Ovis aries: one gene and its partner. The protein of the gene in region 1 interacts with the protein of each later gene in a pairwise test. Links are inferred from orthologs where the notes say so. Each region holds a gene or a part of one and is shown on either strand. Other genes may lie near its edges. The genes, in order: SRF and ELK4.

Region 1 (8,351 bases):
GGACACACAGGAGAGAGACAGAGGCACTGTGGGAAAGAGAAAAACCTACGTGAAGGGGGTGGAAACTTGAGGTGCATACAGGGTGAGGGGTGACTGGTAGGCTGCATGGAATTTGGAGGCCAAAGAGAAAAGGCCAAGGATAGGATGGAATAAATAACCTAAACACACTTTGGGATTTGTAACAAGGAGAACAGAGTGAAAAACAGTGATAGAAGGAAATGAAAAGGTTTCCGAAATGGAAGAAATTACAAGGAAGAAAGCAAGATAAGAAAAAGAGCTGATGGTTAATCAGGACAATTTGGGCAGAACAGGAGGGTGGCTGAGGGGTACAGATCAGGACTTAGAAGGATGACATGGGTGAGCAGGTAGGACAGTAGCCTGTGAGATAGTGGGGTCAGAACAAGTCAGGAAAGTCAGGATGGGGAAGGGGCAAGACAGGGAGCATAAATGACAGATTAAAGCGGGAATGTGGGTATAAAGGGGTGGGTCATGGCAGATATTAAGAAGAGAGACTAAAGGAGGCAGATGACCGGATGACAAAAAGGTATGAGAACACTGGGAAAGGGAGAGGGGACTAGGGATCCAAATAAAATTATGGGAGGAAAAAAACCAAGTCCCACCCTGCCCTTATGCTGTATGTATGGTAAGGATCTAAGTTAAGTAGATCTAGATGGAGGTAATAATCATGGAGTTGAAGGGTAGGGAATGAGGTCAGGAGACAGTAGAGGTATTAAGAGAGGCAATACAGTACAGATTCAGATAAATGGGACTCTGAATTCTGGCTCCTTCACTTCTTATATGCATACTTTTGGACAAGTCAATCTCTAAGCCTCAGTTTTCTCCTCTGCAAGATAATAATATTTAAACCCAATTTACAAAATTGTCATAAACACTTACTAAGATCACATATATAAAGCATTCAGAACAGCCTCTATCATACAGCCAGAGTGCTCAGTAAACAGAATCTAATACTACTATTCTTAGCGAGGGAGAAGGTAGGAGCCGTCCCCAGGTAAGTAGAACGCTAATGTGTCAGAATAAGATTATAAGTAGGTGTCAGAATAAGATTATAAGTAGGTGCGGAGTGACGGCTATGTTAGTGATCAGGGAAAGATATGAAGCAGTGGGGGGGAAACAGGGAATGGTGAGGATAAGAACGGACAGCAAACCCAAACGAAGAAATGGTGATCAGAGCAGGGGTCATGTTGGGGTACAGGGATAGAGGATGAGAGTAGAAGAAAGGCGTGCAGAGGAGGGGAAAGACGGATGTGGCTCTCGAAGGGGGTAGGGGTCCGGATAGCATGCGGGGGATTGGAGGGAGGGCAAGACAGGCAGGTAACCAAGTGATGTGCGATGGACAACTGATGAGCGGGATGAAGTAACACAATCGGAAAAGCCTAAATGGGGGGAGAGGAAGGGCTGGAGAACAGGAGCAATGAACTGAGATGCGGAGGCGAGGTCTTGGTTGCGGGGATGAGACAGCAGGTAGGCGTAGGTGGCAAGTCAGGCCCGAGCTTGCAAGCCAGCAAGGGCGGCGCGGGAGGCCCGCACCGCCGCGAGAACAGGCTTGGGGGGCGGAAGAGGTGGGGGGGGCGCGGTCGGAGGAGGCTGACCGGACCGACTGGACCAAGCGAATCTCGGCAAGACCTGGCTCCTGTCGTCAGCGCCACGGAGAGTGGGCAAGGAACCGGGGAAGGGACGGGGCAGGGGCGGGGAGGACGCAGAGCTCTCCTCTCACCTCCCACCTCCCGGCTCCCGGCTCGGCCCTCGCTGGGGCCCGGCGCCGGTCCCGCAGTGCTGGCCCCGCCTCCTCCGCGGCTCCCTTCCGGGTCACGCCGCCAGTGCGCGCACGGCCGGGCGGCTACGGGTCCCACCGCGGCCCACAGCCGAGCGCGGCGGCGGCACCGTGCGCCAGCGGAGCATGCGTGCTACTCGCGTCTGGGGGCGCGCTGCCCGCGGAGCTTCGGGGTCGTGGTAGCGAGGCCCGTTTTTCCGCAGGCGTAGGCCGCCCTTTCCGTTCCAATATCGGCTTTGAAGCCCTCCTTGCCCTTTGCTGGGTCTGCCTTCTTCGTCTCCCACCGAAACGCACACTCCCATCCTAGGGCTGTCCTCTTAGTTTGCTTTAGGTCACGTGGCCGTGAGTTTCCCATACCCGAGGCTTTGGATTGGTTGCGTTCTTTTCCCTAATAGTAAAATTGCTTCTCTCCGTGTTGACTAAGTACCTAGCACAGCTGGGGCTGACGATAAAGGCCCCTAACCATCACCCCTGATGTGTTCCTTAAGTCAAATCAGTAGAGTTCAACAGCCCAAAGCACCCCTTTGCGTTTCATTCAACAAGAACGTGCTTGTTTCTCAGCACGTTTGTGTTCATACCTCCCACCCTCCAATACGGTAAAACAAAGGCAAAGACCCCACAGTCTGTGCACAAAAATGATACATTTATTGAAAGAGTATTTTTTTCTTAATACAAAAGAAAGCTCTGTACATAGGACTGTGACCATGTCCACTATTCCTGGGTCAGCATCCCAGGGGAAGTAGAAACCACTAACATACACACCCCACATTCGCACACACACATTCACTCGGGCACACGCGCACACACACATACACACCCCAGAGCCACCAAGGAAGGGAAACACCAAGGGTCGCTGCATGTAAAAATGCCACCTCATCCTTGACGCACGCATGTTCTCCCAAGGCCACGCTCACACAACACACATTATAAGCACTTTGCCTGATTCACTCACTGGGTCTGTCTTTTGTGGGAAGGAGAGGAGGAATTCATCAAGGTCTCCTCCCCAGCGTGAGGGAGAGGGGAGTGAGTGAGTGATGGTGGAGTGAAAACAAAGAGTAGAGAAAAGGGGCTGGGCAGTTGCAGACCTGAGTCCCAAGCTCCCCCACTCTCTGACCCCTGATTTGCCATGCCCCAATCCATAAGCCACCCATAAGTCCCCTGCTATCTTCTGGAGAAAGCCAGAAAGATGGCTTCCATCTTGGCACCCCAAACTGGGGCAAGACAGCAAAGGGGGTTAGAGGTCCGGAGGTTCTCAAACATGTCGGCAAATCGTCCCCATGATAATTAGGCTGTATGTATAAACTTCCCCCACCCCTTCACCTAATCACAGAAGCAGGCTTGTTTCTACTCAAGGCAGACCTAAGGGGTTAATAAAACTCCACCCACCCCCCCACTGCCCTGTTCTGAAAAAGCTCCCTCTCTGATACAGGTGGTGAAGGTAGGCTCTGACACAGGGTAAAAGACCCTCTGCCATGTTGGCCCACCCTCAAGATCTACCCCAAAGGGGGCAGAGGGGGTGGGGCACGGCCCCTGTACAAATTACATAAATACTGAGGTTACACTTAGAAAAATAAAGTCATTTTCTTCAAGGCTTTTTGTCTTAATTTTAAAAAGTTACAGTAGCTGCTCACTCCCTGGGAGAGCTGCCATTTCTGGCTCCCCTAACCCCACACTCAGCCCAAGAGCTGCTCCCATTTCTTCTGCCCCCCAATCCTGCCTCTCGCCCCCTCCCAGACCCCACCCTGCTCACTGCAACTTGGGCCCCAGGCAGCTGCAGGCCTGGGGGCGCGCAAGGCTGCAATGCCCATGCATGTGGCACAAATGAAGTCAGTTGCCTCTGACACCCTCCCACCCCCCACCCACATTTGGTCTCCCTCTTCCCTCTCCCTAGCAACAGCTCTGAAGGGCAAAAAGAGGCCCAGAGCTGTGGGTCACCCTCCCCACCCCGTTGGGGCATGGCCTGAGGGCCCCTCCCCCGGTTTTCTCCTGGAAACAACCCAGGACCGGGCAATCTCCCCCCCCACACTGGCGAGCCCCAAGCTCATGGGGTGGCTCTGTCCCCAGAGGCCCAGCCAGTTCCGGGGAGCCTCAGGGCTCCCCAGGGAAGGGGAGCTTGGGCAGGGAGGGGGACGAGAAAAACGCCATAAAAAAAAGTTAAATATTTTAAAAATATATATTTATAGATTTGTTTTCACTTCGTCTCCTCAAATAAAAAGTTCAAAATCAACTTTAAGTAAAGCAGCTGGGAGGAGAGGGGGGAAGACAGGGGAACACGGGTGGTTCCCTCCAAGCCAGCAGCCCCTGGAGTTCCGAAGGGAGCGGCAGGGCAGGGCAGGTCGCCCTGGGAATCTGCTGTGCTGGAGCACAGGCCCCGCTGCTCAGGAGCTGTAGGGGCCACAGACCCGGCTTGAGGGAAGAAGCCCCATCTCCCCAGCTGGCTCCCTGAGGGGCAGGGGGCAGGCTCTTTTGACCCAGCCTGTGGCAAACACAGTGCTGATGTGGGGTCAGCAAGGAGACTGGAGAGAGGGCAACCCCCCCCCCACCCCCGGCACCGGCACCGGCTGCTTCCTCAGGGGGACACAGTGCCTAGTCCCACAGAGAACTGTGTGTGTGATGGTGGTGGGGGGCACGGTCCCATCGGGTAAGCTAATACTCATGGAAAACATGGAGCCAAGCTGGCAAGGGGAGTCTGAGGAGGGAGGGCAGCCCCACCGGCAACAGAAATGGGAGGCGGAGCTGGGGGGGGGGGTCGGGAGGCCGGGGTGGAGGGCAGGCTGGCCCATTTCTTTGGCTGGAGTGAGAGGGCTCAGTCCTGTGGCTGCCCACGCTCCTCCCCGCCTCCCTCCTGCGGCCCATCAACATGTGTGTAAAGAAAACGTGAAAAGGCAACAATAAATAAGTGGTGCCGTCCCTTGGGCCATCTGTCCAGGGCGGCAGGGCGGATCAGTCACTCTTGGTGCTGTGGGCGGCATCCAGGTTCACCACCTGTAATTCGGTGAGGTTGCTGCTGCTCCCGGCCTGCTGCCCTATCACAGCCATCTGAAGGGAAGGGGGTATGTAAGGAGGAGGTGGGGGTCTGGAACTGACTGGCCAGCTCAGGCTGCCCCCTGCCTGCCTGCCCACCTGCCCACCACCCAGGCCTGACCAGGAAAACGGACAGGCCTCCCGGCTAAGGATCTTGGCTTGGACCACCTAGTAATGAAATCCCCCAAGTCAAGATAAAGAAGAGGCTGGCTGGCTGGAATGGAAGGTGCCCTCACCTACCTGGTGAAGCTGAACTGCAGAAACGGGGATCTGCACTGTCCCAGATGGTGCTGTGAGGAACACCTGGGGGACGCCACCTGCATGAGATAACCACAGGAGAGACTCAAATCACTTGCTCAAGAGAAACTTCCAGATTTTGGAGGTGTGATGATAAGTGCACAAGTTGACTGGGTGAGTCTCAGATGTAAATGCCCAAGGGTGAGTGCCCAAATGTGTCAAGTGTGCATGTGAGTGTGGGTGTTCGAGTGCATGTGGAAGCATCTGTGTGTGTATACATATAGGTATGTGTGTGAGCATCTGGTTTGGGTATGTGTGTGTGCATATGAGTTGAGGGGAGGCATGTGAGTGTGTGTGTGCGTGTCTGTGTGTGTGAGGGAGGAAATGGTCCTCCTTTCTGCAGCCCTGCCCCTGACTCACCTTGCTCCTGGACCTGGCTGTGGGACACCTGCATGGTGGATGGCGCCTGGGAGAAGGCATTGAGCACAGTGAGGCTGCCATCAGCCAGGCCCGAGGTGGGCGCATACATCACCGCATGGGGGCTGGGGTACATCATGTGGCCGCCCACAGTTGTGGGCACAGATGACGTCATGATGGTGGCAGGCAACGTCACTGGCAAACACAGACACACGTCAGGGAGGTTGGCACTGGTGCTGACTGAGAGCTCCCATCCCATCCCCAGGAACTCCAGGCCTCCAGAGCCCTCCTGCCATTTCCCAGGTCGAAACCTAGACAAAGCTCCTTCTCTGTTCCCTGTCATCGACTGAGAAAAGCCTTATTTTTTTCTTGAACACAACCACACCAACCTTTCAATGTATCCTATCACAGCGTTCTATTCGATTATCTATCTGCTTTGTTCCAAGACCCCAAGGCCCTGGGAAAAACAAAGATTACAATGACTGACCCAAGCCAAGGAAACTCAGATCCTCTTCTCTGAGAGAGAGGCTCCACCCCATTTCACATCTATTCTTACTCCTCCTCCCTCTTCCTCAACATGCAGCTGATAACCAGCTTTAAAACAAGCACTTCTCCAATGTTGATGTGCGTACAATCACCGGGGGATCTTGTTAAAAGTGCAGATTCTGATTCAGTAGGTTTGGGGTGAGGCTTGAGAGTCTGCATTTCTATCAAGCTCCCAGGTGATGCTGGTCCTCCTTCCACAGACCAAACTTTGTGTAACAGGGTTGTGATTAACAAGAACTTCAAAGCAATTTTATTTTGGAAGTGTCTGATCATTTCTAAAATGACTAGAGACATGGAAGGGACTTATGATTACTCAAAAGCTAGGATATCCTCCCACAAGGAGACAACTGCTCTGTAAATCCTTCCTGGCAGTTGAGCAAATGTGTGTCTATAGGAAAGGAACTTCTTTCAGGGCCTCAGGCTTTTCACCTGAGTGAGAAGAAGAGTGGCCTCAATGGTCCCCAATTTCTTCCTGAAATCCACAGCCCCACTGCAGGGCAGGATTCAAAACTAGCCATCCTCACCTGCCTTTCTCATAAGGATTAGGGAAAGGGTTAACCCAAAAGCCTCAGTCTCCACATTAAGAAATTTGCTGACCTTAGTTACAGGATGGATAATCCTGGGCACCTGCTGCTAGGTCTCATGAATGAGGCAGGGCAGGGAGGTGACAGAGTTTCAAGCAATACCTGTCCCGCTGGAGGAGGTCTGCGTGAGGTCTGTGCTGCTGTCGCGAGAGGGAGACGCTTGCTGTGGGGCCTGGTGCACCTGAATGGCCTGCACTGGGACCTGCTGGGCCACTGCCCCACCTAGAAGACACAGAGACTTACTCGTGCTCTGTCCTACCCACCACCACCACCACCACCTTCACCAAGCTCCCTCAAACACCCCCAGGCCCAGGGGCTGCCATTCTATCCCCAACTCCCATCACTATCCTTCCTGAGAGCCAAAGAGGCCCCTGAGGTCCAGAATCTTATCTCCAGGGGCTTCCATACTCTGTTCTTGCCCTTCCCTCTTTCCCCTGCCCCAGACCCTGCCTCTACACTCTCTGGTTGACACAGGAGCAGGCACCCATCCATCAAGGACACAATCTGCCTTCCAGTCAAGGCAGGGAAGTGGTAGAATGTCTCCTGTCCCTGTGGCAGTAGGGGCACAGGGCTGGGCTTGCTAGGCAAGGCCAGAGTATATGGTGGAAATTTACTGACAAGGACAGTTCAAGTCCCAAGGGGGAGGGGCATGCCTACCAATGGGACATAAGAGGCTTCTCTCAGGCTCTGGCCCCTGTCCTTCCTCCTTCTGAGTAAGAAAAGACATTCTCCTTGCACCAGCCCTAAACCCACTCTTAGAATGCTCAGTTTGCCTCTTGCGACTCACCGGGCATAAGGGTGAAGCTGGTAGGCAGCTGCATGAGGCCTCCAGAAGAAACGGGGCCGCTGCCTGTACTCTTCAGCACAGTCCCGTTGGCACTGCTGACAGCACTGGGGCTGACGCTAGCAGACACTGGTGCCAGGTAGTTGGTGATGGGAAAGGAGGGGCCACTGCTGACTTGCATGGTGGTAGAGGTGCTGGGTGCTGTCTGGATGGTGGAGGTGGTACCCGGCAGGTTGGTGACGGTAAACGCCGGCTTCAGTGTATCCTACACACCCAGAGTAAAGATGGAGTGGTGAGCCTCCCCCAGATCCTGCTTCTGAGATAGATTTCTCAGTTTTTCAGGGAACTTAGGGTTTGAGAGCGATCTTGAGGGGTCTGGCAATGAAGCACCAAAGACTTCATACATTCAACAAAATGTCCTGGGAATAAACTAACCCTACCACTAAAATATTGAGGAGTTTAGAACGCGGACTCTCCCCTCAGGAAACCTTTGTTCTTAGAAGAAGAAGGAGAAAGCCACGAGCTGAGAACCAAGCCCAGAGAACTGAGTGGGGCTCAGATCCTGGAGGTGGGTCAGCGCCGGACGTTGGCTAAGCAGTGGAGCTCGAAGCCTCTGATTGGCGGAGGCGTTGCTAAGGCAAACAGTGCCGCTTCCTCCGATTGGCCAGTTCGTGAAGGGCCACCCGGAAGGTGGAGCTCCCGAGAGCAGTAAGAGGAGGAAGCCCCGCCCTCTCTCCTTACCGGGAAAAGGAAGGGGGAGGCGTAACCAGGGCCGGCATCCCTAACAGTCGAGTGAATACACTCCCTAACGTGCGCAGGCCCGGACATCCTGAAGAGGCAGGCGGCTGGCTAGTAAGGTAGTCTCCAGCGTAGCCAATCAGCCGGCCTGCTGACAGTGCTGGCTTCCCAGGACCCTGGAACCCATAAGTGCTCCCTTCCTATTCCTGGGCGACCCAGTCAGCCA
Region 2 (9,055 bases), on another chromosome or scaffold:
CAAAGTTAAGTAACTCGTCTAAGCTCACACAAGTAAATGGTGGAGCTGAGATTTAAACCCAGGCAATCTGAATACAGACCTAAACTCTAAGAAAAGTCTTGCTATGAGATAAGCTAGTTTCATAAATTACAGGAGCAGACTGATGAATGCCAACCAGTGCAGTATCACTATTACTAAATTTTATCTTAAAAACTCACTGTCGGGACTTCCTGGGGGTCCTCGGGCTAAGACTCCGTACTCCCAATGCAGGGGGGCTGGGCTGGATCTGTGGTCAGAGAACTAAGTCACACATGCCCCAACTAAGAATCTGCATGTCACAACTAAAACCTGGTGCAGCTAAATAAATAAATAAATATTTTTAAAAAAACAACTCATTGTCATATTCTCTGAGGTGACCACCATTTCAGCATCTACCTATACTGGCACAGTTGATTTATATGCCAGGATGTTCTGTGGGTCTCAGGGTGGCCCAGAGATAGGAGGAATAGTTTCCATTATAATAAATGTAATTTTCATGTAAGTTGACAGCACTGAAAACTCAGCAAAATGTTCCCTAATTTACAAGTTCTGCCACCATTCTGTCCGCAGGAAGTCCACCTGCCCAGATCCTTTTATTTGATTAGCAACCTTTATTTGATTATCAAGATTGGAACTGAAAAACCTTTCAATATCTCAAGTTTTAAGATCTTCCTGTTTAGGCCAGTGTTTCTTAAATTCAGCACTATTGATATTTTGAGCCAGATAATTCTTTTGTTCTTGGAGGCTGTTCTGGCATTGCAGTTTAACATCCCTGGCCTCTACCAACCAGATGCCACCAACACCTCCTGCCCAATTTGGCAATCAAAATGTCTACACACATTGTCAAACATTCTGGGGGACAGTATCATCTCAGTTAATAACCACTGGTTTAGGCAATGGAGCAGCAGGGAAAGGTTCTCTCAAAGGTTTTTCCTCAAAAAAACTTTAAAACATCTTGTTTCTAAGAAAGAAATCTTAGGGTGGAAACTCTGGCCAAACATACATAAGCACATCCTAAAATGTCTATAGGAGAACTTTACACATACACAAAGCCTTCCTGTTTTCAGTCTGTGAATTAGATCTCACTGGATCAGAACAGAAATTAAATCAAATCAATTCTGTTAAAATACTATAAAAACAGATAAATTGGACAACAGCAAAAATTAAAACTTCTGTGCTGCAAACAATACCATCAAATGAGAAGACAATCCTTGGAATGGAAGAAAGCATTTTCAACTAATAAGGCTCCTTCATCAAAAAAAAAAAAAATAGAGTCCTTACAATTTAAAAAAATTGAAAATAAGCAAAGGATTTGAAAAGACATTTCTCCAAAGAGTAATATGGGTAGCCAATAAAGCACATAAAAAGATGCTCAATGTGACTAGTTATTAGGGGAATAAAGATCAAAACCACACAAGACACTGCTTCACACCTACTAGGATGGCTATGATCAAAAAGGCAGGTGATGGACCTCCTGGCGGTTAGGAATCTGCCTGCCAATGCAGGGGACGTGGGTTCGATCCCCGAAGACTCCACATGCTGTGCGCCATAACACTGAGCCCATGCCCCACAACAAGAGAAGTCACCGCAATGAGAAGCCCAGACACCACAGCTAGAGAGAGCTCGAGCACAGCAGGGAAGACCCAGCGCAGCCAAACAGAAAGGACAGACGATAAGTATCAGCTAAAACGTGGAGAAAAGTGAAACCTTCATACACTGCCAACAGGAATGTAAACTGGTACAGCCACTTTGGAAAAAGGTTGCAGCAGTTCCCCAGAGTTAGCATATGACCCAGTAATTACACTCCTAGGTATATATCCCAGAGAAATGAAAAATATATGTCCACACAGACATTTATAAGCAGGATGTTCAGAGTGGTATTCATAATATCCAAAAAAGTATAAACTACCCAGATGTCCATCAACTGATGAGCAGACAAGCAAAATGTACCCTTTCCCTTCTCCAGGGGATCTTCCCAACCCAGGGATTGAACCCAGGTCTCCCACATTGCAGGCAGATTCTTTACCAGCTGAGCCACAAGAGAAGCCCAAGAATACTGCAGTGGGTAGCCTGTCCCTTCTCCAGCAGATCTTTCTGACCCAGGAATTGAACCAGGGTCTCCTGCATTGCAGGCAAATTCTTTACCAACTGAGCTATCAGGAAAGCCTCCATATAACCACAGAGTGGAATATCAGCCAGAAGAAGGAATGAAGTAGTGATATGGGCTAGTTCAATGGATGAACCTTGGAAACATTAGGCTAAGTGAGAGAAGCCAGCCATTAATTTGAATAGGCAAAAAAAGCAGACTGGTGGTTGCTTAGGGCTGGGAATGGGGGATGGGTGTGGAAAAGAAAAGGGGAGTGACTGTTAATGGGGTGATGAAAACATTCTAAATTTAGGTTACGGTAGTGGCCATACAACTCTGGGAATATACTAAAAGCAATGAACTGTACACTTCAGGTGAATTTTACTCTATGTGAAATATATCTCAATAAAAATGTTAAAAATAAACACCCCAAACAACACAAAAGTTAGGCCTGAGAAACCTAACTCTAATAATGTACAACTCACAAAGAACGGGATCCTTAACTATGTCTGCTTCCAAAAAGACCAGAGATGAGGAACCATATTGGTAAATATCTCATAATTTTTCTGAGACATTCAAAATGTCCTATTATTCAGTCATAAATTTGAAGCTGGTTATACAGAGATACTGTCATCCAAAAGTAGAGATGAGAAAATACCTAAGAATAGAAAAAGGGAGATGCCTCCCAAAGTTAGAGAGTTACAGAGAAACTGCGGCCACGAATCCAAGTCTCTTTCATCACAGTCATGTACTCTGTCCCTGAGGGAAACCACTTTCCTAGATGGGTAAGAGCATTCACATTACCTAGGATTGTAAAGAAGTATTACATTGTTAGATAATAACTGACAATAACGTACAAATATGAAGTACTACTTTAATGCTAAATAACCATGTTCACTAGAAAACAGCTTTCCAGGGCCTCACTTAAGCTGGGTTAAAACAGTGGTTTTATACTATATCCATCAAGTATAGTTGAGGGGGATGGGTCCCCTGTTATTTCTCTTAATTTACCAGAGAGGCTTTTCTTCTAGTGCTGACTGTCATGGTAAGTTACTTTTAAACTATGTATGTTCCCCACTTAAACAATTATTTGTTAGTCTAAATCTGTTACAACTATTCCCTAGTAAATTTCAGCTTAACCAAAGAACTCAAGTCTTTACATTTCCAGACACCATCTTCAGGTTAAGAATGCTTACAGCAGTGTGAGTATGTGTGAGAGAGACGATGATGGTGACGATGCTGAAGCTAGGAGGAAGGGAGGAGGGAAACGACAGACAAGCAGAGAACTGGAAAACAGGTCTGGTGCCTATAATTTCATTTATTTTTGGAAAAATTCCCCAAACCAAATCCTAGAGTTCTATGCCTATCTTGCAGATAATGCTTGAGCTCTACAGGTTTATAATGGCGAAGCAATACGTACAAAACGACAGATATAACCATGAGTATTTCCGCAACAAGCACACAAGAGTCATCCTGAGCAAATGGGAAGTGTTCCCAAGGTGGTGTGGGTTTAATTTCCACCTCTCCCTTCGGTTATTAGGGGAAAGTGTGGATTGAGCTTGAGTAAGTTCCGGGAGTTGGTGATGGACAGGGAAGCCGGGCATGCTGCAGTCCATGGGGTTGCAAAGAGTCAGACACGACTGAGCTGAACTCAACTGTGGACTGAGCCAAATCCTGGTGGAGCTGTTGGATACTGCATGGCAGAACCTAACTGTGTGGCAAACGCTGAAGCTTCTGTAGTGCTTTACAGTGTGTCTAGGATAGAAAATTATTGTGAAGAAAAAAATGGGCACTGCGGTTTTGGACTGAAGTACTGGAAAAAATTTTTTTCTATTAGGAAAAACTAAGGAAGACGTAAAATGGACATCCTCAGCAGGTACTTTAAAGGAATATTTTACTCATTCAACGTTGATATGTTTCTTTGATTGAAAAGGCGGTGAACCACTGGGCACATAAGCTGAACCTCTTCATTTGAGTTCCTGAAAGTGTGCCATTGATATGAAATTCAATGATTTCTTCAGCCGTAAAAGAGAATTAAAGTAAAAAAAAGTCAGAAATTACTTAAAATTACAAAGGTGAAATAAAGAGACACAAATAATTTAACACTTTTATTCTTACTCTTATCAAAAGAAACCCAAATCCTTTTTCTTGAAAACCCTTTCATGAAAACCTCAGTGTTTCCACAACTACAGTTTTCCCCCAAAATTTCAGTTTTAAAGAGTTTTTTAGAAGTAGTATAATGAGGGAGAGAAATACTTAACTGATCCAAATGAAGGAATCTGATTTTTGAGGGGTTAAATATGGAAAACATAATTGATTCTAACACTTAAAGTGGAGAAGGAAATGGCAACCCACTCCAGTGTTCTTGCCTGGAGAATTTCATGGGCAGAGGAGCTTGGTGGGCCACAGTCCATGGGGTCACAAAGAGTCTGACAGGACTGAGCGGCTAACACTAACACACTCACACTTAAAAGACAGTAGATTAATTCCTGTGCTAAAAGGAAAGAAGGCGCATATTGGAAGTAACTCATTAGGGAAAGGAAGTCTCTACTAAATGAAACCTTTTCCACCCTAAACATGTTTATCATACACACAGCCCAGTTGCTGTGGTGACCCATGGCCCAACTATTTTTCAGAAACAGTAGCTAAGACCCAAAAAATAAATGTCTCCATATTCAGAGTGCTGCTTAAGTAAAATAGAAACAAATTATAAAATGTATTAAGGCGAATTTTAAGTTAAAATCTTTACAGCTGTCAAAAAGTAACCTGGCGTATCTAACTATACAGTATTCCATACCAACAGAACACTAAAAGTGTACTATTATAATAAAACTTTAAAACAACATTTCCCTAAATGGATTCCCCTTGGGCAGTTTTTAACGTTTAAATAAAATCAAAGAGGGTTACTGAGGAGGAAAACTGAATCACAATAGGTTTTAAAGAAAATACCACTGACAGTCTTAAATACTGAAGCACCAAGTTTTCCACGCAGTGGGACGGTGAGTGGAAGATGGCAAAAGAAAAGGAAGAAGGATCTTATTCACCAACCACAGAGATGGGTGAACCGTTCTGATGAGGGATGAAACTCTGAAGTCTTTTTCTTTAAATGCCCTAAACTTCAAATACCAATAGCCTGGTTGGGGGGGTGGGAGTGGGAGCCAACTGTGTATCTCTTAACTATCTCGGTCAACAAGGTCCCTGCCCAGGTCAGTTAACCTTCGGCCCCCAAAAGATGTTTCCAACTGGTTTTCCCAAGAAGGAAGCCTCGCGGCAGCTGTGTACTAACCGGAAAGTAACGAGGGGAGAGGGTTGGCTGGAAAGAAGTAGAAAACACACTGAAAGTCGACGCCGGATGGGTTCTGAGCGTGGGGAGAGGAAGAAACGCGGAAGACCGCGTACCCCGGGGAGATCAAAGTCCGGGCCCGGGAGAGCACCGACTCGCTGCGCTTTCACTTTCCAACTTCCTGTCACTACAGAAAGCCAGAGACGCTCCCCTCGGGCCCTCCCCTCCGCCACCCCGGCGAAAAGAGAAAAGAATAAAAAAAAAACAGCCACCTTTGGCCCCAGGGGCCTCGCGGGACCAAATAAGGGGCGAAGGGAGCGAGGCGGGTCTGTCCCGCGCCCACCGGCCCGCCAGCGGGGCCCCCGGGCGCGCGCCCCGCGCCCGCTTCCCGAGGGGCGGCCAGCCCCCCGCCCCGGCGCCCCGCCGGCGGGGGCGGCGGCCGCGGGACGCGGACGCGGACGCTCACCGAGGCCGCGCGCGGGGCTCCCTCCGGGTCTCCGCCTCCAACAAGACGCTCTTCTCCTCACGCCGGGAACTCGAGGACGGCGCGGCAGCCGCTGCGACCCTCGCGGCGGAGCCGGAGAAGGCGCCGGCGGCCGAGCCGAGCCCGCCGGGTGCCCGCAGCCGCCCGCATCTCCCGCCGCCGCCGCCGCCGCGGCTCGTCGCGCCCCGCCCTCCCCGCCCCCGCACGCGGCGGCGGCGCGGGTCGTCAGGGCCGCTACCCGCCGGGCACGCGCGATCTGGGCGTTCCTCGCCGCGGCTGAGCCTGCCACTCGCTCCGCGGCCGCCGCCTCTCTCGAGCCCCCCCGGCTGCGTCGGGGGCCCCTCCCGGCCGCCCGAGCCGCTGCGCGTCACTTCCGGGGGCGGGAAGGGCGCGGCCGGCCGCTGAGGGGCGCTACCGGCGGCCGCCGACTGCGTCCGCGGGGTGCCGGATGAGGGGCGCGGGCGTGAGGGAAGCCGCCCCCTGGGCTTCCCCGCGTTGCTCTCTCCGCCGGACCGCTAGCGGCTTCTGCTCCCTGAGGCGCGCGGTCCGAGCCCGCACGCCAGGGCTGCCGCTTGGGTCAGGACTTCGGAGGCCTCGGTGTCTGCCCCGCCCTGGGGAAGGGGTGGCGCTCACCGAGTGGCTTCCAGGGGGCCGCGCGTGTCGTCGCGAAGCTTGAGTGTGAGGGCTTTCTCCCTCCAGGCCGCCCGTCCTGCCTTGTTGGCAGGGTGGACGGAGAGGTCGGAACCGCCGCAGCTGGCTCGTGGAAGTGCCAGGCCCCAGGGCGCTGTGAACAGCGGATAGACGTTCAGTCAGCCCTGTGGCTCTCTCGCCCCGGGGCTGACAAAGGGGAGCGCTGGTCGAGTGGGGAAAGCTCGTTCTGGCGTTGGAGTCGGAGACCTGGAATCCGGCCGTGGCTCTGCCTCTCACGAGCTCGCCAATCTTTAAGAACTTTCTTTACCTCCCCAAACAATTTCATCATATGGAAAATGGAGAGAACCCAAGTATAATCACCTCGCGGAGTGTCTAGCCCATCAGTTCAGTTCAGTCGCTCAGTCGTGTCCGACTCTGCTCATTAAACACAGTTCTTAAGGAACCAGGTCACACTTGGTACAACTACTTGAACAGTATAGAGGCGGAAGGTGTAGAGAGACTGCTGAACAAAAACCTCCAAGAAATATACTGTGTATCCCACTTAACAGGAAAGCAACAACAAGCCAGTCCAGTGTCCAGCTACTAGCTTTGAGTCCCTTCACCTCTCTGAACTTCAGTCCCCTCATATAAGGTGAAGATCATGTACAGCACTGCTGAGAAGATAAAGTATGAATAAATGATGGTGCCATTTGTAAAAAATGCATTTATTGGGCTGTGCCAGGTCTTAGCACACAGAATCTTTAGTTGCAGCCTGTGGGATCTAGTTCCCTGACCAGGATGCATCCTGGCCCCCTGCATTGAAAGTACAGAATTTCAGCACCTGGACCAGCAGGGAAGTCCTGATGTCATTTATGTTTGCCTCCTCAGCTCCACAGTTGATTTCTCTGCTGCGGCACAGAGAAGCTTGCAGGATCTTAGCTCCCCAACCAGGGATTGAACACTGGCCACAGCAGTGAAAGCAGGAGTCCTAACTACTGGACTGCCAGGGAATTCCTCATGGTAAAATTAGTTGAGCTCAGTGAAATGTGATCCTCTCAGGGAACTCTATTTAATACTCTGGAATGACCTACATGCTGCTGCTGCTGCTGCTGCTGCTAAGTCGCTTCAGTCGTGTCTGACTCTGTGCGACCCCCTAGACAGGCAGCCCACCAGGCTCCCCTGTCCCTGGGATTCTCCAGGCAAGAACACTGGAGTGGGTTGCCATTTCCTTCTCCAATGCATGAAAGTGAAAAGTGAAAGTGAAGTCGCTCAGTCGTGTCTTAGCGACCCATGAACTGCAGCCTACCAGGCTCCTCTGTCCACGGGATTTTCCAGGCAAGAGTACTGGAGTGGGGTGCCATCGCCTTCTCCAGGAATGACCTACATGGGAGAAGGTTAAAAAACAGTGAAGTGAAAGTCGCTGACTCGTGTCTGACTTTTTGTGACCCCATGGACTTATACAGTCCAGAATACTGGAGTGGGTAGCCTTTCCCTTCTCCAAGGGATCTTCCCAACCCATGGGATCAAACCAGGGTCTCCTGCAATGTGGGCGGATTCTTTACCAACTGAGCTATGAGAGAAACCCTAAAAAAGAGTGGATGTGTGTATAACTGATCTACTTCGCTGTACAGTACAAACTAACAACATTGTATATCAAGTATCCTCCAATAAAAATTAATTTTAAAAAGCTATCAGAAAATACTATGAATAATTTTATGAAGATATATATGAAAACTTAGTTGAAAAAGTTCCTAGAAAAATTATGGATTTAAAAGGAAGGAAGGAAGAAATATGATCTTACTATCCCTTTGAAGCCTTTTGGAAGAGAATCATCACTTACTTTGATTTCCAACCTCCTCCACCATAATACAGAGTGATTATAATGCACAAAGCTATTCATGGAAAAGCAACAACACCTAAAGATGTTAGGCTTTAAAAAATAATTTTACCACATATTTTCATAAAGAAATGTGTTCTGCAGGGCTTCCCTGATAGTGCAGTTGGTAAAGAAATGTATTCTACAAATGAACCTATCTATGAAACAGAAACAAAATCAGGGACTTAGAGCATAGAATGGTGGTTGCCAAGGGGTGGGAGTTTGGGACTATGAAAAAGAATGTAAATATATGTGTACTGAGTCACTTTGCTGCACAGCAGTAATTAACACCATACCATAATCCAAGTAAACTTCAATAAAAAATTAAAAGAAATATATGTTTTGTGAGACTGACATACTGCCTACTGTGCTAAGGAGGCCACTAAGAAATGTGTTTTAAAAGGAGCATCCAACACCTGAAAAGAACTAGGGCTCCTGGGCCCTACAAGATTTTTCCTTACAACAACTTCCATTTTAGAAACCAAGAGGGAAAAAGAAGAATTCTTAAAGTAGACTATTTAAGGTACACCCATTGGAAACATTAGGTTATGGGAAGGTTTCATTTTGAAGCCCCATACCAAGAATAGTTAAGGGCTGTAGAAGCTCCTTGGCAGATTACCCTGCTGTGCCCAAACTAGCAGGAAACTTCACATTCAGCCTCAGGGTCTTAGTTGTATC

The links.
Region 2: the proteins of SRF (region 1) and ELK4 interact in a two-hybrid assay, tested with the Homo sapiens proteins (2 studies listed by BioGRID and IntAct). The link is inferred for Ovis aries from reciprocal best matches to the Homo sapiens genes SRF and ELK4.

Annotation. Positions count from the first base shown.
Region 1 is NC_056073.1:16,772,761-16,781,111, reverse strand, and holds the end of SRF (serum response factor), read right to left. Parts: intron 7,653-8,351; coding exon 7,391-7,652; intron 6,826-7,390; coding exon 6,706-6,825; intron 5,669-6,705; coding exon 5,477-5,668; intron 5,137-5,476; coding exon 5,060-5,136; intron 4,835-5,059; coding exon 4,739-4,834; 3' UTR 2,418-4,738; downstream 1-2,417. UniProt on the Homo sapiens protein: SRF is a transcription factor that binds to the serum response element (SRE), a short sequence of dyad symmetry located 300 bp to the 5' of the site of transcription initiation of some genes (such as FOS).
Region 2 is NC_056065.1:3,245,294-3,254,348, forward strand, and holds the start of ELK4 (ETS domain-containing protein Elk-4), read right to left. Parts: upstream 6,024-9,055; 5' UTR 5,854-6,023; intron 5,563-5,853; exon of another isoform or gene 4,003-5,562; intron 266-4,002; 5' UTR 198-265; intron 1-197. UniProt on the Homo sapiens protein: Involved in both transcriptional activation and repression. Interaction with SIRT7 leads to recruitment and stabilization of SIRT7 at promoters, followed by deacetylation of histone H3 at 'Lys-18' (H3K18Ac) and subsequent transcription repression.